Pelodiscus sinensis: one gene and its partner. The main gene of each other region encodes a partner of the protein of the gene in region 2 in a complex. Links are inferred from orthologs where the notes say so. Each region holds a gene or a part of one and is shown on either strand. Other genes may lie near its edges.

The links.
Region 1: the proteins of CFAP36 (region 2) and ARL3 are in contact, whole or in part, in a crystal structure (PDB 4ZI3), measured with the Mus musculus proteins. The link is inferred for Pelodiscus sinensis from reciprocal best matches to the Homo sapiens genes CFAP36 and ARL3. Residues at the interface, in NP_080016.1 of Mus musculus: Glu44, Glu45, Ser46, Lys47, Leu48, Thr51, Glu52, Lys58, Val61, Glu62, Leu65, Glu76, Phe79, Gln80, Cys83, Thr84, Ala88, Lys89, Leu97, Val100, Leu101, Ala103, Glu104, Asp105, Phe106, Thr107, Ile108; in NP_062692.1 of Mus musculus: Leu3, Leu4, Ile6, Leu7, Arg8, Lys9, Leu10, Lys11, Ser12, Arg19, Lys35, Glu40, Pro47, Thr48, Gln49, Gly50, Phe51, Asn52, Ile53, Lys54, Trp66, Ile74, Tyr77, Ser80, Tyr81.

Annotation. Positions count from the first base shown.
Region 1 is NC_134718.1:72,678,332-72,693,226, forward strand, and holds the start of ARL3 (ADP-ribosylation factor-like protein 3), read left to right. Parts: upstream 1-7,489; 5' UTR 7,490-7,631; coding exon 7,632-7,634; intron 7,635-14,895. UniProt on the Homo sapiens protein: Small GTP-binding protein which cycles between an inactive GDP-bound and an active GTP-bound form, and the rate of cycling is regulated by guanine nucleotide exchange factors (GEF) and GTPase-activating proteins (GAP).
Region 2 is NC_134713.1:176,412,522-176,427,705, reverse strand, and holds the start of CFAP36 (cilia- and flagella-associated protein 36), read right to left. Parts: upstream 6,327-15,184; 5' UTR 6,115-6,326; coding exon 6,000-6,114; intron 1-5,999. UniProt on the Homo sapiens protein: May act as an effector for ARL3.

The DNA of each region.
Region 1 (14,895 bases), on a different chromosome or scaffold from region 2:
CTGCACCACCCTCGCCTCTGAGCACTCCGGGGAGGGGGGAGGGGAGAAGGCTGCACTGCTCTGCTCTTTTCCCAGGAGACCCTGGACTCGGCACTGTGCTCCCCCCCTAGTTATGCTACACCCCATTCCCTGTCCGACAACATCCCCTCCGCATGCAGCTCACGCTCACCCTCCCTCTCCTCTCAGACCCTCTGGGCTATAGCCAGCACCCCCCCCCCCAAAACACTGCTCTGACCCCTCCATTTATACACCCCATTCCCTGTCCGACAACATCCCCTCCGCATGCAGCTCACGCTCACCCTCCCTCTCCTCTCAGACCCTCTGGGCTATAGTCAGCACCGCCCCCCCCAAAACACTGCTCTGACCCCTCCATTTATACACCCCATTCCCTGTCCGACAACATCCCCTCCGCATGCAGCTCACGCTCACCCTCCCTCTCCTCTCAGACCCTCTGGGCTATAGCCAGCACCGCCCCCCCCCAAAACACTGCACTGACCCCTCCATTTATACACCCCATTCCCTGTCCGACAACATCCCCTCCGCATGCAGCTCACGCTCACCCTCCCTCTCCTCTCAGACCCTCTGGGCTATAGTCAGCACCGCCCCCCCCAAACACTGCTCTGACCCCTCCATTTATACACCCCATTCCCTGTCCGACAACATCCCCTCCGCATGCAGCTCACGCTCACCCTCCCTCTCCTCTCAGACCCTCTGGGCTATAGTCAGCACCCCCCCCCCCAAAAAACACTGCTCTGACCCCTCCATTTATACACTACAACCCAACACACTGCACCTCCCCTCCCCCAGGGGCACACAGCCACCCATTTCACCACACTTCCCTCTCAGACCCTGAGGTTTACACTGCAGTCCCCATGACATTGGGCTCCCCACCCCCTTCAGACTCCCTGGGGCTTGCACTCTATCCCATTGCACTGCCCCCCCACTGCAGCCCCCATTGCAGCCTTCCAGGCCCCTCGATGCTTGCACTGCCCCCCCCCCTGCAGCCCCCATTGGAGCCTTCCAGGCCCCTTGATGCTTGCACTGCCCCCCCCCCCGCAGCCCCCATTGGAGCCTTCCAGGCCCCTTGATGCTTGCACTGCCCCCCCCCCCTGCAGCCCCCATTGCAGCCTTCCAGGCCCCTTGATGCTTGCACTGCCCCCCCCCCCCCTGCAGCCCCCATTGGAGCCTTCCAGGCCCCTTGATGCATGCACTGCCCCCCCACTGCAGCCCCCATTGGAGCCTTCCAGGCCCCTTGATGCTTGCACTGCCCCCCCCCCCTGCAGCCCCCATTGGAGCCTTCCAGGCCCCTTGATGCTTGCACTGCCCCCCCCCCCTGCAGCCCCCATTGGAGCCTTCCAGGCCCCTTGATGCTTGCACTGCCCCCCCACTGCAGCCCCCATTGGAGCCTTCCAGGCCCCTTGATGCTTGCACTGCCCCCCCCCCACTGCAGCCCCCATTGCAGCCTTCCAGGCCCCTTGATGCTTGCACTGCCCCCCCCCCCTGCAGCCCCCATTGGAGCCTTCCAGGCCCCTTGATGCTTGCACTGCCCCCCCCCCTGCAGCCCCCATTGGAGCCTTCCAGGCCCCTTGATGCTTGCACTGCCCCCCCCCCCTGCAGCCCCCATTGCAGCCTTCCAGGCCCCTTGATGCTTGCACTGCCCCCCCCCCCTGCAACCCCCATTGCAGCCTTCCAGGCCCCTTGATGCATGCACTGCCCCCCCCCCTGCAGCCCCCATTGCAGCCTTCCAGGCCCCTTGATGCTTGCACTGCCCCCCCCCCACTGCAGCCCCCATTGCAGCCTTCCAGGCCCCTTGATGCATGCACTGCCCCCCCCCACTGCAGCCCCCATTGGAGCCTTCCAGGCCCCTTGATGCTTGCACTGCCCCCCCCCACTGCAGTCCCCATTGGAGCCTTCCAGGCCCCTTGATGCTTGCACTGCCCCCCCCCCCTGCAGCCCCCATTGCAGCCTTCCAGGCCCCTTGATGCATGCACTGCCCCCCCCCACTGCAGCCCCCATTGGAGCCTTCCAGGCCCCTTGATGCTTGCACTGCCCCCCCCCCCTGCAGCCCCCATTGGAGCCTTCCAGGCCCCTTGATGCTTGCACTGCCCCCCCCCCTGCAGCCCCCATTGGAGCCTTCCAGGCCCCTTGATGCATGCACTGCCCCCCCCCACTGCAGCCCCCATTGGAGCCTTCCAGGCCCCTTGATGCTTGCACTGCCCCCCCCCCCTGCAGCCCCCATTGGAGCCTTCCAGGCCCCTTGATGCTTGCACTGCCCCCCTCCCCCTGCAGCCCCCATTGGAGCCTTCCAGGCCCCTTGATGCATGCACTGCCCCCCCCCTGCAGCCCCCATTGGAGCCTTCCAGGCCCCTTGATGCATGCACTGCCCCCCTCCCACTGCAGCCCCCATTGGAGCCTTCCAGGCCCCTTGATGCTTGCACTGCCCCCCCCCCCACTGCAGCCCCCATTGGAGCCTTCCAGGCCCCTTGATGCTTGCACTGCCCCCCCCCCCACTGCAGCCCCCATTGGAGCCTTCCAGGCCCCTTGATGCTTGCACTGCCCCCCCCCACTGCAGCCCCCATTGGAGCCTTCCAGGCCCCTTGATGCTTGCACTGCCCCCCCCCCACTGCAGCCCCCATTGGAGCCTTCCAGGCCCCTTGATGCTTGCACTGCCCCCCCCCCACTGCAGCCCCCATTGCAGCCTTCCAGGCCCCTCGATGCATGCACTGCCCCCCCCCCCTGCAGCCCCCATTGGAGCCTTCCAGGCCCCTCGATGCATGCACTGCCCCCCCCCCCTGCAGCCCCCATTGCAGCCTTCCAGGCCCCTTGATGCTTGCACTGCCCCCCCCCCCTGCAGCCCCCATTGGAGCCGTCCAGGCCCCTTGATGCTTGCACTGCCCCCCCCCCCCCGCAGCCCCCATTGGAGCCTTCCAGGCCCCTTGATGCTTGCACTGCCCCCCCCCCCTGCAACCCCCATTGCAGCCTTCCAGGCCCCTTGATGCTTGCACTGCCCCCCCCCCCCGCAGCCCCCATTGGAGCCTTCCAGGCCCCTTGATGCTTGCACTGCCCCCCCCCCACTGCAGCCCCCATTGGAGCCTTCCAGGCCCCTTGATGCTTGCACTGCCCCCCCCCCCCTGCAGCCCCCATTGGAGCCTTCCAGGCCCCTTGATGCTTGCACTGCCCCCCCCCACTGCAGTCCCCATTGGAGCCTTCCAGGCCCCTTGATGCTTGCACTGCCCCCCCCCCCCTGCAGCCCCCATTGGAGCCTTCCAGGCCCCTTGATGCTTGCACTGCCCCCCCCCCACTGCAGCCCCCATTGCAGCCTTCCAGGCCCCTTGATGCTTGCACTGCCCCCCCCCCCCTGCAGCCCCCATTGGAGCCTTCCAGGCCCCTTGATGCTTGCACTGCCCCCCCCCCCCTGCAGCCCCCATTGCAGCCTTCCAGGCCCCTTGATGCTTGCACTGCCCCCCCCCCCTGCAGCCCCCATTGCAGCCTTCCAGGCCCCTTGATGCTTGCACTGCCCCCCCCCCCTGCAGCCCCCATTGGAGCCTTCCAGGCCCCTTGATGCTTGCACTGCCCCCCTCCCACTGCAGCCCCCATTGGAGCCTTCCAGGCCCCTTGATGCTTGCACTGCCCCCCCCCCCCCCCTGCGGCCCCCATTGCAGCCTTCCAGGCCCCTTGATGCTTGCACTGCCCCCCCCCCACTGCAGCCCCCATTGCAGCCTTCCAGGCCCCTTGATGCATGCACTGCCCCCCTCCCACTGCAGCCCCCATTGGAGCCTTCCAGGCCCCTTGATGCATGCACTGCCCCCCCCCCTGCAGCCCCCATTGGAGCCTTCCAGGCCCCTTGATGCTTGCACTGCCCCCCCCCCACTGCAGCCCCCATTGGAGCCTTCCAGGCCCCTTGATGCTTGCACTGCCCCCCCCCCACTGCAGCCCCCATTGCAGCCTTCCAGGCCCCTCGATGCATGCACTGCCCCCCCCCCCTGCAGCCCCCATTGGAGCCTTCCAGGCCCCTCGATGCATGCACTGCCCCCCCCCCCTGCAGCCCCCATTGCAGCCTTCCAGGCCCCTCGATGCATGCACTGCCCCCCCCCCCTGCAGCCCCCATTGCAGCCTTCCAGGCCCCTTGATGCTTGCACTGCCCCCCTCCCACTGCAGCCCCCATTGGAGCCTTCCAGGCCCCTTGATGCTTGCACTGCCCCCCCCCCCCCCCTGCGGCCCCCATTGCAGCCTTCCAGGCCCCTTGATGCTTGCACTGCCCCCCCCCCCACTGCAGCCCCCATTGCAGCCTTCCAGGCCCCTTGATGCATGCACTGCCCCCCTCCCACTGCAGCCCCCATTGGAGCCTTCCAGGCCCCTTGATGCATGCACTGCCCCCCCCCCTGCAGCCCCCATTGGAGCCTTCCAGGCCCCTTGATGCTTGCACTGCCCCCCCCCCACTGCAGCCCCCATTGGAGCCTTCCAGGCCCCTTGATGCTTGCACTGCCCCCCCCCCACTGCAGCCCCCATTGCAGCCTTCCAGGCCCCTCGATGCATGCACTGCCCCCCCCCCCTGCAGCCCCCATTGGAGCCTTCCAGGCCCCTCGATGCATGCACTGCCCCCCCCCCCTGCAGCCCCCATTGCAGCCTTCCAGGCCCCTCGATGCATGCACTGCCCCCCCCCCCCTGCAGCCCCCATTGCAGCCTTCCAGGCCCCTTGATGCTTGCACTGCCCCCCCCCCCTGCAGCCCCCATTGGAGCCGTCCAGGCCCCTTGATGCTTGCACTGCCCCCCCCCCCCCGCAGCCCCCATTGGAGCCTTCCAGGCCCCTTGATGCTTGCACTGCCCCCCCCCCCTGCAGCCCCCATTGGAGCCGTCCAGGCCCCTTGATGCTTGCACTGCCCCCCCCCCCTGCAGCCCCCATTGGAGCCTTCCAGGCCCCTTGATGCTTGCACTGCCCCCCCCCCCCGCAGCCCCCATTGGAGCCTTCCAGGCCCCTTGATGCTTGCACTGCCCCCCCCCCCACTGCAGCCCCCATTGGAGCCTTCCAGGCCCCTTGATGCTTGCACTGCCCCCCCCCCCCCGCAGCCCCCATTGGAGCCTTCCAGGCCCCTTGATGCTTGCACTGCCCCCCCCCCCCTGCAGCCCCCATTGGAGCCTTCCAGGCCCCTTGATGCTTGCACTGCCCCCCTCCCACTGCAGCCCCCATTGGAGCCTTCCAGGCCCCTTGATGCATGCACTGCCCCCCCCCCTGCAGCCCCCATTGGAGCCTTCCAGGCCCCTTGATGCTTGCACTGCCCCCCCCCCCCTGCAGCCCCCATTGGAGCCGTCCAGGCCCCTTGATGCTTGCACTGCCCCCCCCCCACTGCAGCCCCCATTGCAGCCTTCCAGGCCCCTTGATGCATGCACTGCCCCCCTCCCACTGCAGCCCCCATTGCAGCCTTCCAGGCCCCTTGATGCTTGCACTGCCCCCCCCCCCCTGCAGCCCCCATTGGAGCCGTCCAGGCCCCTTGATGCTTGCACTGCCCCCCCCCCACTGCAGCCCCCATTGCAGCCTTCCAGGCCCCTTGATGCTTGCACTGCCCCCCCCCCCCTGCAGCCCCCATTGGAGCCTTCCAGGCCCCTTGATGCTTGCACTGCCCCCCCCCCCCTGCAGCCCCCATTGCAGCCTTCCAGGCCCCTTGATGCTTGCACTGCCCCCCCCCCCACTGCAGCCCCCATTGCAGCCTTCCAGGCCCCTTGATGCATGCACTGCCCCCCCCCCCCTGCAGCCCCCATTGCAGCCTTCCAGGCCCCTTGATGCATGCACTGCCCCCCCCCCCCTGCAGCCCCCATTGCAGCCTTCCAGGCCCCTTGATGCTTGCACTGCCCCCCCCCCTGCAGCCCCCATTGCAGCCTTCCAGGCCCCTTGATGCTTGCACTGCCCCCCCCCCTGCAACCCCCATTGCAGCCTTCCAGGCCCCTTGATGCTTGCACTGCCCCCCCCCCTGCAGCCCCCATTGCAGCCTTCCAGGCCCCTTGATGCTTGCACTGCCCCCCTCCCACTGCAGCCCCCATTGGAGCCTTCCAGGCCCCTTGATGCTTGCACTGCCCCCCCCCACTGCAGCCCCCATTGGAGCCTTCCAGGCCCCTTGATGCTTGCACTGCCCCCCTCCCACTGCAGCCCCCATTGGAGCCTTCCAGGCCCCTTGATGCTTGCACTGCCCCCCCCCCCCTGCAGCCCCCATTGGAGCCTTCCAGGCCCCTTGATGCTTGCACTGCCCCCCCCCCCCTGCAGCCCCCATTGCAGCCTTCCAGGCCCCTTGATGCTTGCACTGCCCCCCCCCCCTGCGGCCCCCATTGCAGCCTTCCAGGCCCCTTGATGCTTGCACTGCCCCCCTCCCACTGCAGCCCCCATTGGAGCCTTCCAGGCCCCTTGATGCTTGCACTGCCCCCCCCCCCTGCAGCCCCCATTGGAGCCTTCCAGGCCCCTTGATGCATGCACTGCCCCCCTCCCACTGCAGCCCCCATTGGAGCCTTCCAGGCCCCTTGATGCATGCACTGCCCCCCCCCCCTGCAGCCCCCATTGGAGCCTTCCAGGCCCCTTGATGCTTGCACTGCCCCCCCCCCCCTGCAGCCCCCATTGGAGCCTTCCAGGCCCCTTGATGCATGCACTGCCCCCCTCCCACTGCAGCCCCCATTGCAGCCTTCCAGGCCCCTTGATGCATGCACTGCCCCCCCCCCTGCAGCCCCCATTGCAGCCTTCCAGGCCCCTTGATGCTTGCACTGCCCCCCCCCCTGCAGCCCCCATTGCAGCCTTCCAGGCCCCTTGATGCTTGCACTGCCCCCCCCCCTGCAGCCCCCATTGGAGCCTTCCAGGCCCCTTGATGCTTGCACTGCCCCCCCACTGCAGCCCCCATTGCAGCCTTCCAGGCCCCTTGATGCTTGCACTGCCCCCCCCCTGCAGCCCCCATTGCAGCCTTCCAGGCCCCTTGATGCTTGCACTGCCCCCCCCCTGCAGCCCCCATTGCAGCCTTCCAGGCCCCTTGATGCTTGCACTGCCCCCCCCCCTGCAGCCCCCATTGCAGCCTTCCAGGCCCCTTGATGCTTGCACTGCCCCCCCACTGCAGCCCCCATTGCAGCCTTCCAGGCCCCTTGATGCTTGCACTGCCCCCCCACTGCAGCCCCCATTGCAGCCTTCCAGGCCCCTTCAGCCTTGCACTGCCCCCCCCCCTGCAGCCCCCCTTGCAGTGCAGTACCCCTGAGCCCTGCACTGGTGCACCGCTCTCCCTCTAAACCCCTCCCCATTAGGCTCCTTCCCTGCTCCCTACCTCCGCAGCCCAGGCACGCGCCCCTCTCCCTCTCTCCGGCACACGTGGTTTTCACCGCCCCTCTCCCTAACGCGTGGCCCTTGTCAGCCAATCAGAGCCAGCCTCCCACCTTGCTCGCGTCAGCATGGGACCTGGGAGCCAAGGCGGTTTAAGACGCATGCGCCGGACAGGGGCCGCCCTGCTCGGGGAGAAGGAGGGGAGGGGGGGATCGCCAGGGGGCGGGGCTTACGTCTGTCCCCGCCCCCTTGCCGCTAGTGCGTGCCGCAGAGAAGAGTGACGTTGCACGAAGGGGGCGGCGCGCATGACGCAGTTGCCCATGGTAACCCGGGAGCCGCGCGGAGGATGGTGAGTGCGGCCAGGGAGGGTCCTGCCGTGTGGGGGAGGGGCGGGGGGCAGCCTGGCTGGGGGGGCTCGGGTGATATGGAGAGCCAGGGAGGGGCTGGGGTGTGGACCCAGCCTGGGGGGGCTGGGGTCGAGCCTGGGGGGGAGGGGGGGCGGGGGTGTGGACCCAGCCTGGGGGGGCTGGGGTCGAGCCTGGGGGGGAGGGGGGGCTGGGGTGTGGACCGAGCCTGGGGGGGAGGGGGTGTTGGTACCCAGCCTGGGGGGGGGCTGGGGTCGAGCCTGGGGGGGAGGGGGGGCTGGGGTGTGGACCGAGCCTGGGGGGGAGGGGGTGTTGGTACCCAGCCTGGGGGGAGGCTGGGGTCGATCCTGGGGGGGAGGGGGGGCTGGGGTGTGGACCGATCCTGGGGGGGAGGGGGAGCTGGGGTGTTGGGACCGAGCCTGGAAGGGGAAAAGGGGGTGTTGGGACTGAGCCTGGGGAGGGGGGGGGCTGGGGTGTTGGGACCGAGCCTCAGGGGGAGGTGGGAAGGGGAGACTGGGGTGTTGGGACTGAGCCTGGGGGGAGGGTGGGGATCTGAGGGTCACAGCCAGGCTGGGGAGAGATGGGTGGTGATGAGATGGGGTGGGGGGTTAAGGTGCTATGGAGAGAGGGATGGGGGTCCAGTCTAGATGAGGAAGGGACTGGAGGGGTCAGCCTGGGTGGGGAGGAAGCAGTGTTGGGGCCTGGGGTTCTGAGAGCCAGGCCTGGATGAAGAGGGTAGGATGGGTGCTGGAGTGCTATGAAGAGGGAGGGAGGGAGGAATGGGGAACCGGCCTGGGAGCCTTCTTGAAAGGGAAAGGACAGGCAGGCACTCAGAAGTTTCAGGCATACGGGGCGAGGGTGGGAAGGGGCTGAGACAACTGCTGCAGGGAAGCATCCCATCCCACCGTGTGCAGGGGCAGGAGGACTAGCCTTAGGGCAGGATGGTGGGTTTGCTGGCTGTGTGCAGAAACTAAAGGGACAAGCTTATGACAATGGGACAAAGGGATGAACAGCTTCCAGTAACCCTACATATAGGGGGCTGCATTCAGTCCTCTGGTCCATAGAGATGTGGGCCTAGTTTTGCACATATTGGTCCAGGGCAAGGGGCAACCATATTTCCCCTATTTGTGGAGCTACAAGGATAGCATGCTAGGAACATAGCACATGCAGCATCTTTACTGTGATGATGTTGCATGCTATATTCCTCACCCATTCTAGCCTGCAATGCTTTACCCTGACCTATCATAAAAGATGTGGAGACAAAGATTAGGTAGGGACTCTGCTCCTTTGCTGGTTAGTTGATGGTGGGGCAGCTTTACATACTAGACACAGTGTTCATCGCAGGAAATACATCTGCTTTAAGATGAGGGCAATTACATAATGCAGTGTAGCACTCCACAAACTACGCTTTCACTTGGGCAGTGGTTGCTGACAAAGTTGCACTTCTGCTTTGTAAAGTTTGGGATATGCTGACAAACGATGAAGGAAAAAGATTAACAGCTTCCAACATCTGTGTTGACATTTAATTACATTTTGTAGGACCACTTTTGCAAGAAAACTATGTCTGTGGATTTGAGCGGGAAAAACATTCTAGGTGAATTGACTCCAGCAAATGCAGGGGGGAAAATGTATGCATTGATTGATATCATAGTCTAGAGTTTGCATAACAAGTAATTGAGTTAATTTTGCCTGTGTTAGTAGTAGTACTGAATAACCTGTGCTTAATAGATTAAGATGCTCCCATTGTTTTGAAAAAGGTTTAGTGCTTTTATATAACAGCGATAGTTATGCAGGCTAAGAGAAAGGTAATCAGACTTCTTCAGGGCATCAGCTAATCGGCTGCAGTAAGTGTGCACCCTTACACGCTGTGTACAGAATTACACAATGAACTAGGAATGAAACATCAGCTACTAGCCACCACTGATGGCATATTAGACTCAGTAGACCATTTGTTTGATCCGAACTGGCAAATACTATATAAATGCAGTGAAACCTTCCTGCTGGCATCCTCTGTCTTAAGCAATGATTTTAGAATTATTATTACTCACTACTGCAGAGTGCAGGAGCCTCAGTTATGGGTGAGGACCCCACTGTGCTAGGCACTGTACAAACACAGAACAAAAAGATAGGGAAAGGAACTAGGAGCTTACAGCCTAAAATAAGAGACCGCAGATGAAGATAGACCAGTGGGAGAGTACAGGGAAACGAGACAATGCTGGTCAGCATGGAAGGCAGTGATCTTGGCACAACTTAAAAGTGTGGTCAATACTTTTGTAGACATAATGGAAAAGGAGGGTTTTGAAGAAGGCGAATGAGGTAGCTCTGCAGATGTTTACAGGAAATCTTCCTAAGTCTGATTAGAAGAAAGCACAAAAATGCTTGTCCTGAAATTTAACAAATGGACAATGGAGGCTTGTACCATGGGCTGATCAGAGGCAGGAGTCATAGAATCATAGAATAATAGGACTGGAAGGGACCTCGAGAGGTCATCGAGTCCAGCCCCCCGCCCTCAAGGCAGGACCAAGCTCCGTCTACACCATCCCTGTCAGATGTCTATCTAACCTGTTCTTAAATATCTCCAGAGAGGGAGATTCCACCACCTCCCTTGGCAATTTATTCCAATATTTGACCACCCTGACAGTTAGGAATTTTTTCCTAATGTCCAAGCTAAACCTCCCCTGCTGCACTTTAAGCCCATTACTCCTTGTCCTGTCCTCAGAAACCAAGAGGAACAAATTTTCTCCTTCCTCCTTGTGACACCCTTTTAGATATTTGAAAACCGCTATCATGTCCCCCCTTAATCTTCTTTTTTCCAAACTAAACAAGCCCAGTTCATGAAGCCTGGCTTCATAGGTCATGTTCTCTAGACCTTTAATCATTCTTGTCGCTCTTCTCTGTACCCTTTCCAATTTCTCCACATCTTTCTTGAAATGTGGCGCCCAGAACTGGACACAGTACTCCAGCTGAGGCCTAACTAGTGCAGAGAAGAGCGGCAGAATGACTTCACGAGTTTTGCTTACAACACACTTGTTGATACAACCTAGAATCATATTTGCTTTTTTTGCAACAGAATCACACTGTTGACTCATATTCAACTTGTGGTCCACTATGACCCCTAGATCCCTTTCCGCCATGCTCCTTCCTAGACAGTCGCTTCCCATCTTGTATGTATGGAACTGATTGTTCCTTCCTAAGTGGAGCACTTTGCATTTCTCTTTATTAAACCTCATCCTGTTTACCTCTGACCATTTCTCTAACTTGCTAAGGTCATTTTGAATTATGTCCCTATCCTCCAAAGAAGTTGCAACCCCACCCAGTTTGGTATCATCTGCAAACTTAATAAGGGTACTCTCTATCCCAATATCTACATCATTGATGAAGATATTGAGCAGTACGGGTCCCAAAACAGACCCTTGAGGAACTCCACTTGTTATCCCTTTCCAGCAGGATTTAGAACCGTTAACAACAACTCTCTGACTACGGTTATCCAGCCAATTATGCACCCACCTTATCGTGGCCCTATCGAGTCAGCATCTTGATACTGAATGGGCGACGATAGGTAGGATGGGGTTATGCTGCAAAGTCTTGAAAGTACCGAGGAGTAGCGTATGTTTCATGCCAGTGAAGGGAGGCAAACAAAAGGCAGGGAGGGGGCATGGTCAAGCTGTTGGCTAGGAGAATTATCTTTTCAGCAGCGCTGTAGTTCAGTAGAAATGTATTTGATCTTTTGTTAAATGCCACATTTACTAGGTAAACATCTGCAGGCAGTTTACACCGTATTTATAATCTAAATTCATCATCCGAGCTTTGTGGCTAATACAACAAAAGAGCAGATATTTGTTTCTCCTCCTATTCGGGCAAGACTCTCCTCTGGAGTGTCTGGCAGGCTCCATGTGCTATTTCTAGTCCATATCATAATGTGAAATAGCTCTCTCCGTTACATAGTTTGTATTGTTAACTCTGATATTAAATTTGCAGTTTATTTCAATGCTTGGTTCCCCCCCAACCAACCTCTAATTTGGCCTGTAAATGTGAATTTTTCTTTCAACAGCCTCTATGGCACAGGATGTGGTTGCGTGCACCAACTAGTTCTGGAAATCCACACAGCTTGGATTTAAAGCTTCATAAACCTGCCAGAACTTAGGACTGTAAATGTCATTGTATTTTTATATCTGTGAATTAAGAAAACAAATGTAGCGCACGTAGCTATAATCAAAAGACCTCTGTTCAGTGGAGGTTTTCAATCTAGAAATTTATGTTTTCATAAAGCCACATATTTGTATTCTCTGAAGGATGCTGATGGATAACTTTTCTTTCTTATCTAATTTGCTTTTTGAGTGTATTTGCCACCCAACAGTATATATAGTATTTAATAATGGGTTTGAATTTCTTGGCAATGGCCGAGTGGTTTTCTGTTTGCTTTTTTAATATCTCCACCCAGCTTCCAGAAAATGTAGCTATTTTACTGGTGGCCTCCGAGTGTTACTCTCCTGTTGGAAGATAGTGTGTATTTTGGTCTCTCGTACAACTCAATCAAAGACTAAAACAGACTACTGTGTTTGCTTAATACACAACGTCACTTCTGGAACTGCCCGGTATGGCCACCCTCATCTCAAGGGTGTTGCCTGTCGAGACCATATATCCTGGCACACAGGGCTTCACTATCTGAGTGGCTTCCACAATTATGCCCACCATATTGAAAATGCTGCAATCTGCTCGGTTCTATGCAAATTACATGTAACCCTCACGCTCCTAACAAGTTGTCAGTGCAGCTCTTCTGGACAATGTGCTTTGATCCCAGTTGAAGACTTGTTCTGCTCCTGAACCTAGGAACCTCCCACATCACCCATCTCAATTCTTGCGCTACCAGCCCAGCTGCCCTGGCACTAATGTAACTCACAGTTTGCTTTTGTAACATCCTTGCTTTGCCTCCTGGAACATCCATAACTCTACTGCAATATCTATAACACTGCTGTGTACTGCCCACATTTATGGTTTTCCCATTCAAAAGTTAATTCAGATATTTTGTTTGCAAGTAAAACAATCAGTCCATCTGCATGTGTCATTGCCATATTCTGGAGTCATGCAGCTAGTACATTAATTGTTACTTTTTCTAGTCTGCTAAACCATGAAGGAGCACTTAATACTTTTTTAGTCCATGTATCAAATATTTATAAAGCTGAATTTATAAAAATCCCCATGGATTTTACTGAGTGATGCTTTTCCTGGGTATTAAATAGCTGTTTACTAGCATCAGAATAATTAGATATAACTTCAGAACAGTAATGTTTTTGAATTATTGGTAGACACTAGAGTTAGTGTCTTGATTTAAACTGGACTGCAATTTTTAACTGCACACGAGTCATATAATATATATGCAAAGAGAGCTACTGAAGTAGAGTCCACAGCCATACATTGGTTTGCTTTTCTTCTAGCCTTCTAAATCAGCTTACTTAATACCTCAAAGAATACTTTTATTTCTATAAATAACCCCCTCTCTATTGGCTAACCCAGATAATCCTGCGATCAACCATGTAACAAGAAGTGTCACTTGAGTAGAATATGGAATGATGCCGATCTTATTTCTTGTAGACTGTTGTGTTAATTTGGAAGTTCGTCATTCTGCAGTAGGAGAGGATCTATTAACATTTGTTTTTCATTCCTCTCCTGAGAAGTATTTTGAGAGAGAGAGAGAGAGAGAGAGAGAGAGAGAGAGAGAGTTAGTTAGTGGCCTGCTCTGGGAATGTATTGCTGTACTCTTAGCAAGCAGTATTGTGAACAGGATTAACGTTTTATCAGCCTTATTAGCTTGAGCAGTAAACCACGATAATAGGACTTGATTCAAAGCCCCCTAAAGTAAGTACTCCCATTGATTTCAGTGTGCTTCAGATCAAGCCCATAAATAATAAGCAGAATGGTGGGAAATGTGGGTGTGTCTCTGTTTAGCAGCATTATCCTTCTAAGGAAGTAGAATTTGTGCATAAAAGAGAGTTGGCATTCATGTTGGGTACATCTATGCTTATTTAAGTTGTACACTAACACACTGATTTACAGAATCAGAGAAACATAGGGCTGGAGGGGACCTTGAGAAATCATCAAGTCCGGTCCATTATGATGAGGCAGGATCCAGTAAACATACACCATCCCTGACGGGTGTTTGTCTAATTTGTTCCTAGAAACCTCCAATGAAGGGGATTCTACAACATCCCTTGGAAACTTATTGAAAAGCTTTAACCACCTTTATAGTTAGAAAGTTTTTCCTAATATCCAATGTCAATCTCCCTTGCTGCAGGTTAAACCCATAACTTCTTATTCCTGCCTCCAGTGGTCATAGAGAACAATTCATAGATTCTAAAGCAATAAGGGACCCTTGTGATCAACAAGTCTTACCTCCTCTGTAACACAGGGCCTAGAATTTCCCCCAAAATCCCAGAGCAGGCCTAAATTAGGAACCTTTCTATCTTTAAATTCAACACACACATATTCCTACCACACATCTTTTAGAAAACCATTCACTTTTGATTTAAAAATGGTCAGTGACTGAGAATCCACCACAACCCTTGGTAAATAGTTCAGTAACTACTCTCACTGTTAAAAAGGTGTGCCTTAATTCCAGTCTGAATGTGTCCAGCTTCATTTTTCCAGACTTTGGATCTTGTTAGACCTTCTCTGCTAGGCTGAAGAACCCATTCATAAATATTTGATCCCCACATAGATACTTATTGACTATAATTAAGTCACCCCCTGAACTGCCTCTTTATTAAGCTAAATTGATGGTGCTCCTTGAGCCTATAAAGGAGGTTTTCTAATTATTTACTGATTCTTGTGGCTCTTCTTTGAATCCTCTCTAATTCATCAAGAATTTACCTCCATCTTCTTTATTAGGGTGCTTGACATATTCAAGACTGTAATTGCCCCTCACCCCCAAGTCTTATTTTGTCAAGACTAAACATGCCCAGTGTTTTTTATGTTTCCTCTTAGGTCAGGTTTTCTCAACCTTTTATCGTTTTTTTGCTCTCCTCTGAACTCTCTCCAGTTTCTCCACATCCTTCCTAAAGTGTGGGGTACAGAATTGACACAGTACTCCAGCTGAAGCCTCCCAGTGCTGAATAGAGAGGGACAAAACAATTAGCTCCTATGTCTTATGTACAGCACTCCTTTTAATGCGGTCCAGAATATCAGCCTTCTTTGCATCTGTATCACATTATTCATTTGTATTCAATTTGTGATCCACTATAACCCCTA
Region 2 (15,184 bases):
TGTGTCAGTTAAGCCAAGAGTTGGGAGACAGAATAAATTAAACTGAGGCAGGACTACCATACCTCCAAGAAATTCAGGGGCATGGAAGTGGACTGAACCACGAAGCAATAGTGAGTAAATAAGGAAAAATGTGTATTTAGTCATGATCAGGGTAATTTTCTTTGTTTTGGTTTTTTGCTTAAACTTCTCTGTTTGAATCCATGCCTTCCCTCCCCTACTCACCATTTAAGCTACAGCCCAAAGAGCTATGTTTCTTTGTGTCTCTGATCTATTCTTTTCTTAGTTGCTCTGTAACACCTAGCAAACAAGTATGCTTTAAGTATAAGTTTTTGTTTTGTTAATAAAACCACCTTTATTTAAGGTGATGATTTTATTCCTGTGTCCTAGAAGGTAACAAGTTCTATGTATGCATGCCTAAGACTGAGAGGTCAGCTACCTAAGACTGCAGGGTTTTTTTTCCCCACTCTTTTTTTCCAAGCTGTCTCATGGTAAAAGAGCTTGGGGGTACCCCTCTGGAAGAAGTTCAAGTGCGTTCTTCCTGGGTTCAAGAAGACAGGCATTTTTTTTTTGTTTCACAAGGTGGCAACTACCTCCCATGGGTAGGAGATCTATGGAGCTTTTAAGCAGAAGCCTATAGAGGCAAAGTATTTTTAAGGTGTCTTAATGGCCCCCCTCCTTGTGCACTCAAAGTGCCAGAGTGGGGAACAGTCTAGACAGAGCCTAATCAGCTCTATCTTTAAACAGAAGAGGAGGCAGATCAAGTAGTACCTGAGAGTCTTAGGCAGAACTCACACCTCCAAGCCAAATATAAATTACTTTTAATGAATCTGTAGCCATGTAAAACCTGCAAAAAGCAGTAAAACCTTTTTTAGTCCTCTAAAGCTTAACTTTTGACAAACTACTTTCATCAACTCATGACTCTAACATGAATAATAAAAGTGTCAACTATCAAAGCAAATGTACAGTAATTCCTCATTTAACACTACAGATGCGTTTCTGAAAATGTTCGTGCTAAGTGAAAATGTGCTATGTGGGGTCAATTTTCCCAATAAAAATAATGAAAAAGGTGGGAGTTGCATTTCAGGTAGTGGTGGTGGCAAAGTCAATTTTTTGTTGGTGCTGGGTCATCAACGTCAACATTACCTATCTAGCAACACAAGATAACTAGCAACACAAGTTGCCGCTGTTTGTTAAAACACAAAGATAAACACGAGTGAGCGGAGAAGTGCTGTGACCACGTGTATTCATTCGCTCATGCGTATTACCACTATTTTCACCAACTTATACTGCCGTGCGAAGTAGTCTGCCACTTGATTATTTTTGTGTTATTTCAGGGACAGTAGTGTTATTCAAAAAACGTTCCCCCCCAAAAAATTATGCTATTGCGAAAACATGTTAAGTGGGCACGTGTTAAACAAGTTATTACTGTATCTTCTTTTCATAAATGTCAAGGCAGTTCTAAGCTTTACAACGCCACACTCCACTACTTATGTTTCCATGCAAACCTTAAAATCCCTCTTTATCAGATACCATGCTCTGCTGGAAGCACAGCGCTGAGTCACTAGGGACTAAGACTCGCAGAGACATTTCAGTGAAGTGTTGCTACCTGGACGCAGATTTAAGTAGGGCAGTGTTTCCCAATTGGTGCTCTGCGGAACCCTGGGGTTCTGCAGAGCACAACGAGGGGTTCCGCGAGGAGCCAGCGCTCCCCCGCCCCCTCTGAAAAAGAGAGAGAGAGAGCCAGCTAGCCAGCAGAGGAGTGGGCGGCGAGTTTTGTGGTGCCCACGCTCCAGCAATATTTGGAGCTGGAACGGGTCTCGACCCCCCCGCGCGTGTCCTCCCACCCCGGCCCCAGAGCGTCTCTCCCCCGTCCCCGTCCCTGCCCAACCTTCCTTGAGCTCTTCCTTGCTGGCTGCTGCTGCCAGTGAGTGGAGAGACACCCGGACGTCACGTAACGTCACAGCGCGGGATTTTAAACTTGCTGGGCGCTGTGATGTGCCGCATGGCTGAGTTGCGGGTTCGGAGTCCGGGGACAGAGCGCAGACTCCGGCCCCACAAAGTAGAAGGTAGAAGGTACGGGAGAGGGGGAGGGGAAGGAGAAGGGGAGAGAGAGGGGAGGTGAGGGAAAGGGCTCGTGCAGAGGGAAAGGGGAAGGGCTGGGAGAGGAAGGTGCTTGTGCGGAGGGGAAGGGGAAGGCACCAAAGGGACAGGGGTGGAGGAGAGACAAATGCCAGGGGGCCAAGCGCAGACAATGAGGAAACGGGCAGGAGGGGAGGTGTTAGTAGGAGGGGGGACAGGGTGATGCTGGCAGAGGAGAGGGTAAGGGCATTGGGGGCTAAAGGGGTGAGGGGAGATGCTGGGAGAAGGCTTGAAAGAAGGGGTGGGCATCAGGAAGGCTGGGATGGAGCAAGTCATGTGAGAGGGCACAGGGGCATGAGGGGAATGGGGGCAGAGGGTGTTGAGGGGTGGGCATCAGGGAAAAATGGAGCGAAGGGGGAGGCACCAGGAGGGTGCAGGGGTAAGGGAAGGTGCAGGTGCCAAGCGATTCTGGGGGTGAAGCAGAAGGGTACCTGCAGGGGAGGGACCACCATCAGAGGAGAGATGCAGGGCAGGTTTGTAGAGGGAGGCGTTAGAAGAGGGGATGAGGAGGGGTAGCTCACATGATCAGAGTGGGGCTACTGGAGAAGTGGGCACAGGGAGGAGAGAAGGGCTGGTGGAGGGAGGCAGGTTGCAGGAGGGCTGAGAACAGTGAGAAGAGCAGGAGTCAGGACAGCAGAGGAGGGTGAGGAGTGGGGAGGCAGCAGGCACCAGGGGAGCTGACATGGCAGCAGAGGGAAAAGGTAGAGGTTTAAAAATATTTATTAATAACTTGGGTGGCACATCCAAACAAGCCATATGAACTCAATACTGGTGCACAACACAAAATTCATTTTGCTTGTGAGGAAACTCTTAGGCTATGTCTACACTGGTTGTTTCTTGCGTAAGAATATCTTGGGCAAGTGTTCTTGTACAAGAACACATCCACTCTTCCATGTATGAGCTGTGCTTTTGCACAAGAGCACCTATGGCAGTTTGGACACTCTCTTGCCCAAAAAAGTGCCGATGGCCATTTTAGCCATAGGGCTTTCTTGCTCAAGAAATTCATGTTGCCTATCTACACTGGCCTCTTGCGCAAGAATAGTTGCTCAAAAGGGCTTATTCCTGAGTGGGAGCATCGTAGTTCTTGCAGAAGAAGCCCTGATTTCATACATGTGAACGTTAGTGTACTTGCGCAAGAACACACGGCCAGTGTAGACAGGCAGCAAATTTTTGCGCAAGACCGGCCGCTTTGGCACAAGATCGTGCCAGTGTAGACACAGCCAAGGGGAGGGAGGAAGGCAAGGACAGGAAATCAGCACTGGCTCAGCATGTCTACACGGTTTGGGGGAAGGTGCAGGGAAATTGAGCTCAGCTGGGTTGCAGAGTGGAGAGGTCTGCGGAGCTGGGTTAGGGTGGGGTGGGGGTATGTGGAGCTCAGAGCTCAGTTTGACTGCAGGCAGAGGGAAGTGCTGGGAACCGGGGCTAGACTCAAGGGGAGGGAGGGACAGGGAATCGGCTCTTGGCTCAGCAGTTTTGTGGGGCTTGGAGGAGGTGCAGGGAAATTGGTCTCAGCTGTGCTGTGGGGGAAGCATGCTGGGAACCAGTGCAGGGCTCAGCTGGGCTGAGGTGGATGGGGGAGGGCATACAGAACAGACAGGCAGCTCAGCTGGCTGTGAGGGGCTGCAGGGAACTGGTGCTGCACTCCCTTGGATTGTGAGGGATGGTTTCAGGGGAAGTGCAGGGAACCAGCAGGGGTGGGCAGCTTAGTTCAGTTGCAGGGGATAGAGGTGCAAAGAAGCCTAGTTGGGAAGGGAGGGGGGGAGAGAAACCAGGAGCCCTGAAATGACCTCCCCTGGTCCAAAAAATCCTCATCTGGGACCAGTCAGGTCTAGAGGGTGCCAGATCAGGGAGGTCCAACTCCTACCCAAGTCCCCTCCTCACACCCTCCCTTGTAGCCAGACACCCTACATCCAGCCTGCTTCAGCACCCTACCTACCACGCAGACCTTGTCCCCTTCTGCCCCCCAGCTCCCTCCCAGATCCTGCACCCCATCCCAATCCCGCTCCTTTGCAGCCCTGTCATCCACCCTAACACCGCCCTGGCCCCAGCACCTTGCCTCACACCCCAGGACTCAGCACCGCCCCGGCCCTGGCCCCAGCCCCAGCACCCTGCCATCCACGCTAGCACCCAGCAGCACCCTGTTCCTTGTCCCAGCATCCTGCCAGTCACCCTAGTGCCCAGCAGGACCATGTACGTGACCCCAGCACCCTGCCACCTGGGCCAGCATCCTTCCACCCAGCAGCACCCTCTCTCCAGCCCCAGCACTCACTAGCACTCTGTCCCCTACCCTCACCAGCACATTTGGGACATTAGTGAGACATGGGGGGGTTTTGGAGGAGCTTTTTTTTGTTTTTTTGCATCTCACTTGTGTGGCCCCAACTGACTTTTCTGTGGGTCAGTGACCTTTGACTCAAAACAGGTTCCTCACCCCTCTCATATCTAAAGACAATGCTAAAACCTTTTGAGTTTGACATATTTTATTTAAAAATTAAGCCAGGCCAACAAGCCCCCAATTGAGACCAAATCCCCATTTCACTGCAGCATCATAACACTCCTGCACCACCTGACCCCAAATCTGAGCCTATCATACACTGGAATCCCCGTCCTGAGCCTCTTACATCCCCAAACTCCTGCATCCCCACATCCTCAGTCTTCTGCCACAACATTCCTCCACCATCCACACATCACAAATCTGTGTCCTGAGCCATAGAACTGGAAGAGACCTCAGAAGGTCATCAAGTCCAGGCCCCTGCTCTAGGCAGGACCAATTCCAATTATATCAACCCGGCCAGGGCTTTGTCAAGCCGAGACTTAAACACCTCTAGGGATGGAGACTCCACTACTTCCCTAGGTAACCCATTCCAGTGCTTCACCACCCTCCTAGTGAAATAGTTTTTCCTAATATCCAACCTGGACCTCTCCCACCACAACTTGAGAGCCCATCATACTCACAACCTTATTGCCCTGAGTCCCTCACATATCCAGCCCAAACTCCTGCACCCTCACATGCACAAGCCCTGGCTTGCTCAGCACCCCAACTTTCCACCTGAACCCAACACTCCCCAGCCTAGAGCCCCCTCCCTGAGCCAACAGCCCCTTCTCCTGCATCCAAATTCCCTCCCAGAGCTTGTACTTCTCACCCCTTCCCACACCCAAATCCCTCATTCCCACCCCACACCTCACTCTCATTAGGTTGAGACAAGTATAAGGGCTGGAGATAGCAAGTGATGGAGAGGAGGGGAACAGAGCAGCTGAGGCCTCACAGAAGGGAGATGGGGGGTATGTGTGTCTTGGGGAAGGAATGTGATTTTCATGAATTGGTGGGTCCCTCTCTCCTCCCCCGCGCCCTACCTTTTTTTTTTTTTTTTTTTTTTTTGCTTGACAAGCCATGGGGTTCCTCAAAATTCTGAAAAGGGTTCCTCGGCCAAATAAAATTGGGAAACACTGAAGCAGGGGTTTAGTGCTCTCTGAGCAGCCCCTCGGAGAAGGACGGTGCGTCCCCAGCGGCCACTGACCCCAGCAGACTGAGGGCCCACGGACACGTCTCTCTCTCCCCTCCCAACAGTGGTGACAGAGCGCGGGGGAGGTGGCGCTGCTGTGGCCGGCCGGCCGGCCGGTCCTCCACTCCAGAATCTGGTGGGGCGGCGCTGACGCCAGAAGAGGCGCTAAGGTCTGGAGGGAGCAGGGGGCGGTAGCTGCACCTGCCCTCGCGCTCCGGGGTTCAAGCCGAGGCTGACCGGAAGGAGCCTGGTTCAGGGCCTGGCAACGGGCGCCGAGCGTCTCTCCACGGGCCTAGCAACGCCCTGCGCAGCAGCGGGAGGGGGAGAGCAGGCGGACAGGCTCCCGCCCCAGCTTCTCACCCGCGCACTTCTGCTCCATGAACTCCAGGATGGGGGTGGACCAGGCGGGCCCGCGCAGGAAGCCGGCGATGCTGTCCACCACCCACTCCACGTCCGCCTCCCTCTCCGCCGCCATCGAGGTCGGGCTGCGGCGGCGGCGGTTGGGGCGCTACTAGCTCGCTGGCGCAGCTCTCGTCACACAGGGAGCGCGCGCGCCCCCCGCGGAGCATTCGGTCCGCTCGCGCGCGCGCGCGGTCTCTCTCCCTGCCGCGATGCAGGTGTGAAGCGCGCGGCAGCGGCGTCACCCGGGCACGGGCCAGGTGGTGGGGGAGAGGCGCGTGGGGGCGGGGCCGCGGCCGGGCCGTTCTGGCCTTCGGCTGCGAGGCCTCGCGCTGTCGCTGGGGGCGCGCGCGGCAGCTCGCGGCCTGGAGAATGGAGAAGCGTTTGAGCCCCGTTGCGGGGTCCTGCTGCTGCTCCTGGGCTGCAAACAGCCGTGCGACGTCCTGCCCTTGGCTGTCGCCTCCTGGGCCCGGGGAGGAATTTCCCCCTGCTCTAGGCTCTTTTGCAGCTGGATTGAACAGCCCCTGAACCTGGAGCTGCTGCAGCACGATAGTTACGCTGGGCGACCCCCCTAGCGCGCTGGTATAGCGCAGCATCCACAGCCCCATACCCCGGGAAGAGGTGAGCCGTAGTGGCGCATTTCTGGGAAGAGGTAGCTCCGTGCGGTAACTACCGGCTGGTGCAACCCTTCCCAGTGCTGTGGAGACAGGCTCCAAATACTCTGAGGCTATTTACCTCGTCCCAGCCCTCTGAGATCTGTTTCCATCCCCATTTTCTAAATGCTGTTGTAGTAAAATATAGTAAAGACTATGTGTGCTTCTTCCCCCTTCCATTACTTAAGCTTGAAACAGCACATATCATTTAGCTAATTGCGCATGTTTTAGAAGCTGAAGTAAAAAGGGGAACTAGCTGTTTAGACCCATTTCTCAAGGACTGGAGTACAGGTATTACTTGAGTTAGGGAAATTTGCTAATTGCTATTGCTTAAGTAAGCTGTACTGGTGGTTGTTACTGAATGGAATAGAGTTGAAATATGCTAACCAATAACGCGGCAACACGAAGCTAAGGTAACAAATCAAGACGTGCCAAGTTAGATAAGAAAGTTAAAGAAAGTATAAAAAGGATGCTTAGCCTACGCTCAGGGTCGGCTCTGCTTTGAACATTGAGTTCCTTAGCCGTACCTTGGTTGCAACCAATAAACTTGAGTTGGACCCAGCCTGAAAGTGTGACTCTCTTCTTGGGGTAAATCAGACTAGCCTCCAAGGGGACGAAACCAGAAATTTATGCAACACTGTATCGGAGTAGCAGCAATCAGCTGTCCATAAGATACCCATGAGAGGGCTTTTAAGAGACTTTCTATATTGCTTAATAGCAAGTATAACTTTGGAGCTGTACCCTTTTTAAGCATTTGTGAGAAATAACAAAAACCGAGATGGAGATAATCTGGTTCACAGAAATTATCACCTCTGATTCCAGTATTTTGCTACTGTCCCATGCTGTTCTAGAATTTACATGAGTGACTGACAACATGCAAGTACTTAAAAAAACACGAATATTCTAGCAGCACCTTAAAGACTAACAGGACATGTAGATGGTATAATGAGCTTTGGTGGGTACAACCCACTTCTTCAGCTTCTACCTGTTTTGTTAGTCTTTAAGGTGCTACTAGACTATTTTTAAGTTTTTCCAGTTATAGACTAATTTGGCTACCCCCTGAAGCTTTTGTACATGCAAGTAGTTGTATTGGGAAAACGTAACTACAGGATGATACATTCTTCTGTCTTTATTAGGATGCCTAAACTCTGATGAATTTTAATTATAAGTGGCTTTTTTACAACAGCACAATGTGAAAGATCAGAATAAACAAGCTACCCAACAATTACTACAGTACACTATCTAGGGGATATTGATCAAAGCCCTCAAGTAAATAACAAATTGAAAAGATTAATTTATTTAAACCTGGAAACAAAGTTCCGTCCAACTCGAATCATTTTCATTGTATTGATCTTACACAGAGATTAACATAACTAAACCTTGGCAATATAATCTGAGACAAATGTAGCTGCCTACATTTCAAATGATGAAAAAACTAACAAATTAGAAGATTTGTTCAAGGCATATATGTTGCTATTCTGCAGTCAGGTGTTGTGTACTAAATAATTGGTCCCAGATGAGACCATTTCAGAAATGGAAGACTTTGCTGAGTAAATTGAATCTACTATGCCAGATCTATGCTACAGACATATAGTAGTATAACTATGTCACCCAGAGCTGTGAAAAATCCACACCTCTGAGCGACATTCGTTATACTGACCTTAACCCCCTATGTAGACAGCACTATACTTCTCCCACAGACATAGCTACTGCCTCTTGAGGAGGTGGATTAATACACAGACTGGAGAGCTCTCCCTTCAGCATAGGAGTATCTTCACTGAAGCACTTCACTGCTTCTGTGTAGCTGCGCAACTACCTGGCAACAGTCAGCAACACCCATCAAAGGACACTTTGTTTCAGTCTGTTCCCCCCAGGTTCTCTTAAACCACATCCACCTGCAACCCAACTAATGCCCTTCTGATATTTTTGTCTTCTCAATAGAAACAGTCATTCTATGTAGGTAGGCAGACCTCTTAGAACCCATACAGCACATACAAGCCTTGGATGGTATGCAAGTAGGTGGTATGCTCTTGGTCGATGAAATACAGAGAGAGTTATTCATGAGTGGGAACCTATACCCAGATAAGAAACTCTCCTTACTGTGTGATATCTTTTGTTTCTGCCATCATTTTGTATCTTTTGGTCTCTTTCTCTCTTGCATCTACCTTTTCCTTGATTATGTTTATGTTACTATGTATTTACACGCTATTCTTGGTGAAGCGTGCATTGTTAAATTCTAACCAATCCACAGTTTGTGTCCCACTCTAGGTCTGAGTACACTGTAGCACTGTTTCTTCCTTTAGTCTCTGAGACTCAAGAACCTCATAGTGCCAACTGCCAAGAGAAACAGGGTGCCCACATAAGGATTACAAGGATCTCCAGTCTCTGATGTGTACATTCTAGCTCCCCAAGAATGTCATGCAAGGTCTCTCATAAAAGCTGGCTTTACACTGGTCATCAATATAACTGTGAAACAAATGTACAGATGTTGTGTAAGGAGTTGTGTATATCTATACACTTTGGCTACGTCTAGAATGGCATGATTTTCCGCAAATGCTTTTAACGGAAAAGTTTTTCCGTTAAAAGCATTTGCGGAAAAGAGCATCTAGATTGGCACGGACGCTTTTCCGCAAAAGCACTTTTTGCGGAAAAGCATCTGTGCCAATCTAGACGCAGTTTTGCGCAAGAAAGCCCCGATCGCCATTTTTGCGATCGGGGCTAATTTGCGCAAAACAATACCACGTTGTCTACACTGGCCCTCTTGCGCAAAAGCATTTGCACAAGAGGGCTTTTGCCCAAACGGGAGCAGCATAGTATTTCCACGAGAACACTGACAATCTTACATGAGATCATCAGTGTTCTTGCGTGAATTCAAGCGGCCAGTGTAGACAGCTGGCAAGTTTTTCCGCAAAAGCAGTTGCTTTTGCAGAAAAACTTGCCAGTCTAGACGCAGTCTTTCTGTTGTTAGGACCTGTGTCTAGGGACTGATCACCAGCAAAGATAAACAAGTTTTTTGATGCACAAGAATTGTTTATCTAGTTGACTATTTACATATAAATTAAATATTGTATTGTTCACAGTGGACAGATCAAAGGCTTATACAAGTGTATTTAGGGGCAAAGAAGACACACCGTCATCCTTATTATGATGTGAATTGACTGCAGATTTTACTTCATGAAAGAGAGATTTCAAGGAGGATTTGTTGAAAACGCTGGTAAGAATGTAGGGTGAAAAGCCTCTTTAGACAAGAGGAAAACTTAGTTTAGTCTCTAGAAAGCATGATGTGATTTTGTTTTGTTTGTAATCATTTGTTTCTAATATTCTTTCTGTTGTTGAATCTCTGTTCTTTGATAAAAAATATATTTTTGATAATAAACATGTCTTAAGTGCTGTGATGTTAAGCAAAGTTATGGCCCTGAGTTGAATATTAGAAGCTGACATGCACTGTTTCTTTGGGAAAAGCAGGCCAGGCATTTCTGTGAGTGATCAGTGGATAGGTGGCTAGACAATGCGTGGAATGCTCTTGGAGGCCTTGAAGGTTGGCATTAATCTATTGCTACCTGTCTGAGAAACTGAGGCCTGAAAGACAGTGCTTGTATTGGCAGCAGCTGGTGGATTCAGGGAGCGGTTCCACAGCAAAGACAGATAAGAATTCCTCATACTAAGGGCAAATGAGGGTGAGGTAACTCACAACCTCTCTGGCACAGCTGAATACAGCCTCTTTGTCTGTTACCCCTTACATAAATGAGTCGATGCTGCCCAGCTTCTCTAGGTCCCCAGGACGATGCTGACCACTCACACTTTTCAGTAACTTAAGCATACCTATCTAAATAGCATGCCTATCCATCATGAATGGGCGGGGTTCTACCCTTTTCTCGACATCCCAGCAATTCAGTTAACTAAATTGCCTGTAAGAGTTAAACCCAGAGACAGTGAGTAGTTGAGAGTCTCCAGAAACTGTGGACAGGGGAGCCAGGAGAGCCAATGAAAACAGTGTTAGTTTTGAATTGAAGTAGGACCTTCCCTGCTGCAGTCTTTGTGTGATCTGAGCTGAGGGAGATGAGTTAAGCTAGGAACAAGGCATGGAATTTCCAGTGATATCTATGCCTGGGGGAAAGACTAAACTTTGGAACAACAGAGGTGTGTATAGAACAGGGTAGGGATGTTAAATTTTGATTAATCGGCTAATTGAGGAGTCAAATGGAATTTCCATCAGCTACTCGATTAGTCGATAAGGAGGGTGCTCACTATCCTGCTGCGCCTCTGCCTTTGAAATGTACAAGAACCATCCTCTTCAAAGGAAGAGGCAAAACAGTCCCCTCTCGCATGGGTCTCTACTGCTGTGCCTCTCCTTTTAAAATGTACAGGAGGGCTTATCGGGTAGTCGACTAGTCGCTTACATCCCTAGACCAGGGACTGTTTAGTCAGATATGTTCAGGTTATTTTATTTATTTTGGAGTTTGTTGAACTCTTCTGTTCTGAGCCCATTTCTCCCTGTTGACTTTTAAAGGAAATCCCAGGAAAGCAATTCTCTGTTTTTAATTTGCTTTTTTTCAGTTTCTCTGTAACACCAAATATGCTTTACCAAGTATGTCGTCTTCATTTTGTTAATAAAATAACCTTTTAAGACTATAATCTGAATCCTGTGTCTTAGAAGGCATTTGGTTTGAATGTGCATGTTTGTGAGACTGAAAGGTCAGCTATTAAGAAATTAGTTTTTCAGGCTCTCTCCAGTGGGAGAGTTAAAGAGCTTGAGAGAATACCCCACAGGAAAAAATTCCCAAATACTTCTTCCTGGGTTCTCAAAGGGATTTTTGTATTTGGGTAGTGGCAGCATACCATCCAAGGTCAGGGAATCTGTGACCGTGGGGAGTTTTTAACCAGAAGCATTTAGTGGCAGGGTATTTTTAAAGTCTTTTGTGCAGCCTCTCCTTCTGCACTCAATGTGCCAGAGAGGGACCAGCCTGAGAGCCATGGATATTTTTAGTGCAAGTCATGGTCAGATCCCAGGCAATAAACAGAAGCCTGGGATCTTAATGGAAGCCTGTGACATGTTCCTGACTTTCACAAAAATGACCCTGACAAAATGGGGAGATGAGATCAGCACCCACTGTTGCTGGGGATCTTAGATCCTCTGCTGCTGTGGGGAGTGGGAGCTCCAGAGGCCCCTGCCCATGGGGGCTGAGCTGCTCCAGGGTCTCCTCCCCTCCCGTGGCAGCTGGGCATTCAGAGGGTTGCCTGCTGTCAGCTATGGGAGGATCCCCTGCTGCCCACCATGGCTGTACAGTTACAGAAGTTCCCCCATAAGTTATACTCCCTGGAGCTAAGCAGCTTCAAGGTTTCCTCACCTGCTCAGGGGCTGAGAGCTGCAGTCCTAGGAAAAGCGACGAGGAGGTCACTGGTACATTCTCCTGCACATCCACCAACGTAATATATGCCATCATGTGCCAACAATGCCCCACTGCTATATACATCGGCCAAACAGGACAGTCCCTACGTAAAAGAATCAATGGACACAAATCTGATATTAGGAATGGCAACATACAAAAACCTGTAGGGGAACACTTCAATCTTCCTGGACACACAATTGCAGATCTAAAAGTAGCCATCCTGCAGCAAAAAAACTTCAGGACCAGACTTCAAAGAGAAACTGCTGAGCTACAGTTCATCTTTAAGTTTGACACAATCAACTCTGGATTAAACAAAGACTGTGAATGGCTTGCTAACTACAAAAGCAGCTTCTGTTCTCTTGGAATTCACACCTCCAGATCAGCTGCTAGAAGTGGGCCTCATCCTCCTTGATTGGATCCACCTGGTCATCTCCAGCCTGATATTTATTTATTTTATGGCCTGCATATTTATTCCTGCCTCTGGAAATTTCCACTACATGCATCTGACGAAGTGGGTCTTTGCCCACGAAAGCTTATGCTCCTACACTTCAGTTAGTCTATAAGGTGCCACAGGACTCCTCGTCGCTTTTGCAGATTCAGACTAACACGGCTACCCCTCTGATACTTGACTCCTAGGAAAGAATATGTCACAGAGGTCAATGGAAGTAATGGATTCTGTAACTTCCATAACCTTGACATAATCATAATAATAATCATTACTTCTAATACAACTCCAACCATGTGGAAACTCTGGGTTAACAGTTTAACTATTTAGGGACACATAATAGTGAAAAGCAAACAGTCATATAGCCTTTGTAAGAATTCCTGCCTTGGCTTCCCTATCACTCTGGAGGTAGTCTGGGTTTTTGGCACAGGAGTCTTCTCTACAGCACATGGCTTCTCTTTGAAATCATGGAGTCTCTTTCCTTCCTTTAGGTCCGCTAGTTTTTGTCTTCCTTGGTCCCTCAATTAAACGGGACCCTTCCTCCTCCATCCCAGCTAAATCTTTTACTTTCTCCTGTCCTAAGCCTTGTCTTCTTTATTCTGAATTAATCACATTAGATTGTCCCACCCCGACCACCAGCTTCCTTTGTTCTATGTGTCTCCAAACCCCAACTTCTGCAGAAAAGTTGGTGCAAATTGACTTCTTCCTACTTTCTGCTCTGTCTGGACCAGATCTGTTAATTGCTTAATAGCCCTTAATGGCTGACTGTCTTATTTGAAGAAAAACTTGCAGACTCCATTTCCTCCTTTTCTCCGCCCCTTGGAGAAAGCTATGTCATATTTTTTAACATTATATGTAAATATCAGAATGTGAAAAATCTTGTTGTTTAGAAGCACAGGAAAGGGTGTCTGGAATGGACAAGTGAAATTAAATGGGAATTTTTGTAATATTTTTATTAAGACTATGTGTGCCTCGGTTTCCCTATATGTTGTTTTGCTACCATGTGGGGGAAAGAAGATTAACTCTGCTTTCAGAACAGACCAAAAATATAGGGGTGTAAGTGTTACCAACCTGTCTGAGCAGACTGAATAAGGCATTAAACGGACTAGCCCATGCAGCTAGCACTCAATAAGCCAGAGAGAGAATCGTTTCCCCACCTCTCAGCACTTATGAATTCAGTCTCTGCCTGGAGAGCAAAGGACTAGGAGGTGACCAAGAAGGAATAATAATTGATTTCTGAAAGAGGTTGGCTGCTCTCCATAGAAAGTAACTGAAGAGCCAGAGAGAGAGAGAGAGAGAGAGAGAACACAAAATGAAATCCACTACAAGTTGGCTTGTGAATTGCTCTGCCTTGACCAGAATTGACTATCCTTTAATATTTATCTCTTTATGCTAACATAATGACTTCCAGTGCTTTGTTCCAGTTGACTAATAAGTCTTACTCTATTTGAAAAATTGCTTGGGTGTCCCTACAAATACTGAAGTGCATTGGTAGAGCCTTGCATCTTCAGATATCCACTTTATATCTGTGGCTATCTGCATTCACAGATGTGGATGCAGATATCTGTGGCTCATTTTAGGAGATACAAATGCGGATACAAATTTTGGATGTAGAATCATGTAAGTTTGCAGCTATCTGCGTTGTATATGTGGATGTGGATATTCACGGATCATTTTTTCAGATGCGGATATCAATTTCATATTCACGTAGGGCTCTATTTGTTAGTTCCTGAATAGTGTAAAATACTCTACCAGGAGTCTCTTTTTCAGCAGTTCTCAGACTGTGGATTGGGACCCCAAAATCTGTCGCATCTAGGGATTTGAAAGTGTAGCCATGTAAATGGTTAACCAATGAGCCTAGGCTCCTGGACGGGAAACCAGCTTAAAAGCTGGCTCCCGGTGTGAACCAGCTCCCAGGAAGATGCCTGATACAGAGTCAGCAGCACTGGGTGGTAGGTGGGGAGCTGGTATGCCGAGGGACAAAGGCAGCAGCGGGAGGGGGGTGGGCCGGGGCAGGTGGAGGGATGAGAGCTGGTATGGGAAGCTAGCTCCCTGCACTCACTGACTCCCAGAGAGCCGCCTGCTGCCTATGCTGCTGCCTCTGATACAGAGGCAGCAATGTGGGGCAGCAGACAAGAATTGGTATGCAGAGGGAGCCAGCTTAAAAGATGGAGTCACTTCTCATTCCATCTGAAGATGGCTGTTCGTTCCAGGTTACTGTTTCTATGTAATGTGTCCTGCCCAAGAGACAACCCAGCTGGGAAGACAGTAGTGGCCTTCCCTATGTGCTTCCGACCTGAGCCCAGCTGCCAGGGACAGGAGCTGAATATCCAGGGGGTGGGAGGGCTCAGCAGAAGAACGACAGAGCCCATCCCCTCTGTATCCCAGCAGACCAGGTAGGAATTTGGGCTGTTTAATCCTGCATTCCTCCTTACACATCATTTACTGTGTGGCAGCTCCTGGAGCCAGTGGGCTGCAAAATGCAGTGCAGACAGAGATTCAGTAAACAGTTGGGAGCTGCAGGGAAGGATTGCTGAGTGTAAGGGAGGTGTACCTAGGGAGGCATGACCCAAGTTGCTTGGGGGAGGCCAATCTTTAAATTGTGGCCTCTGCCCGCCCGGCTGTCAGCATGTAGTAGCTGTATCTGCCACTCTCTGA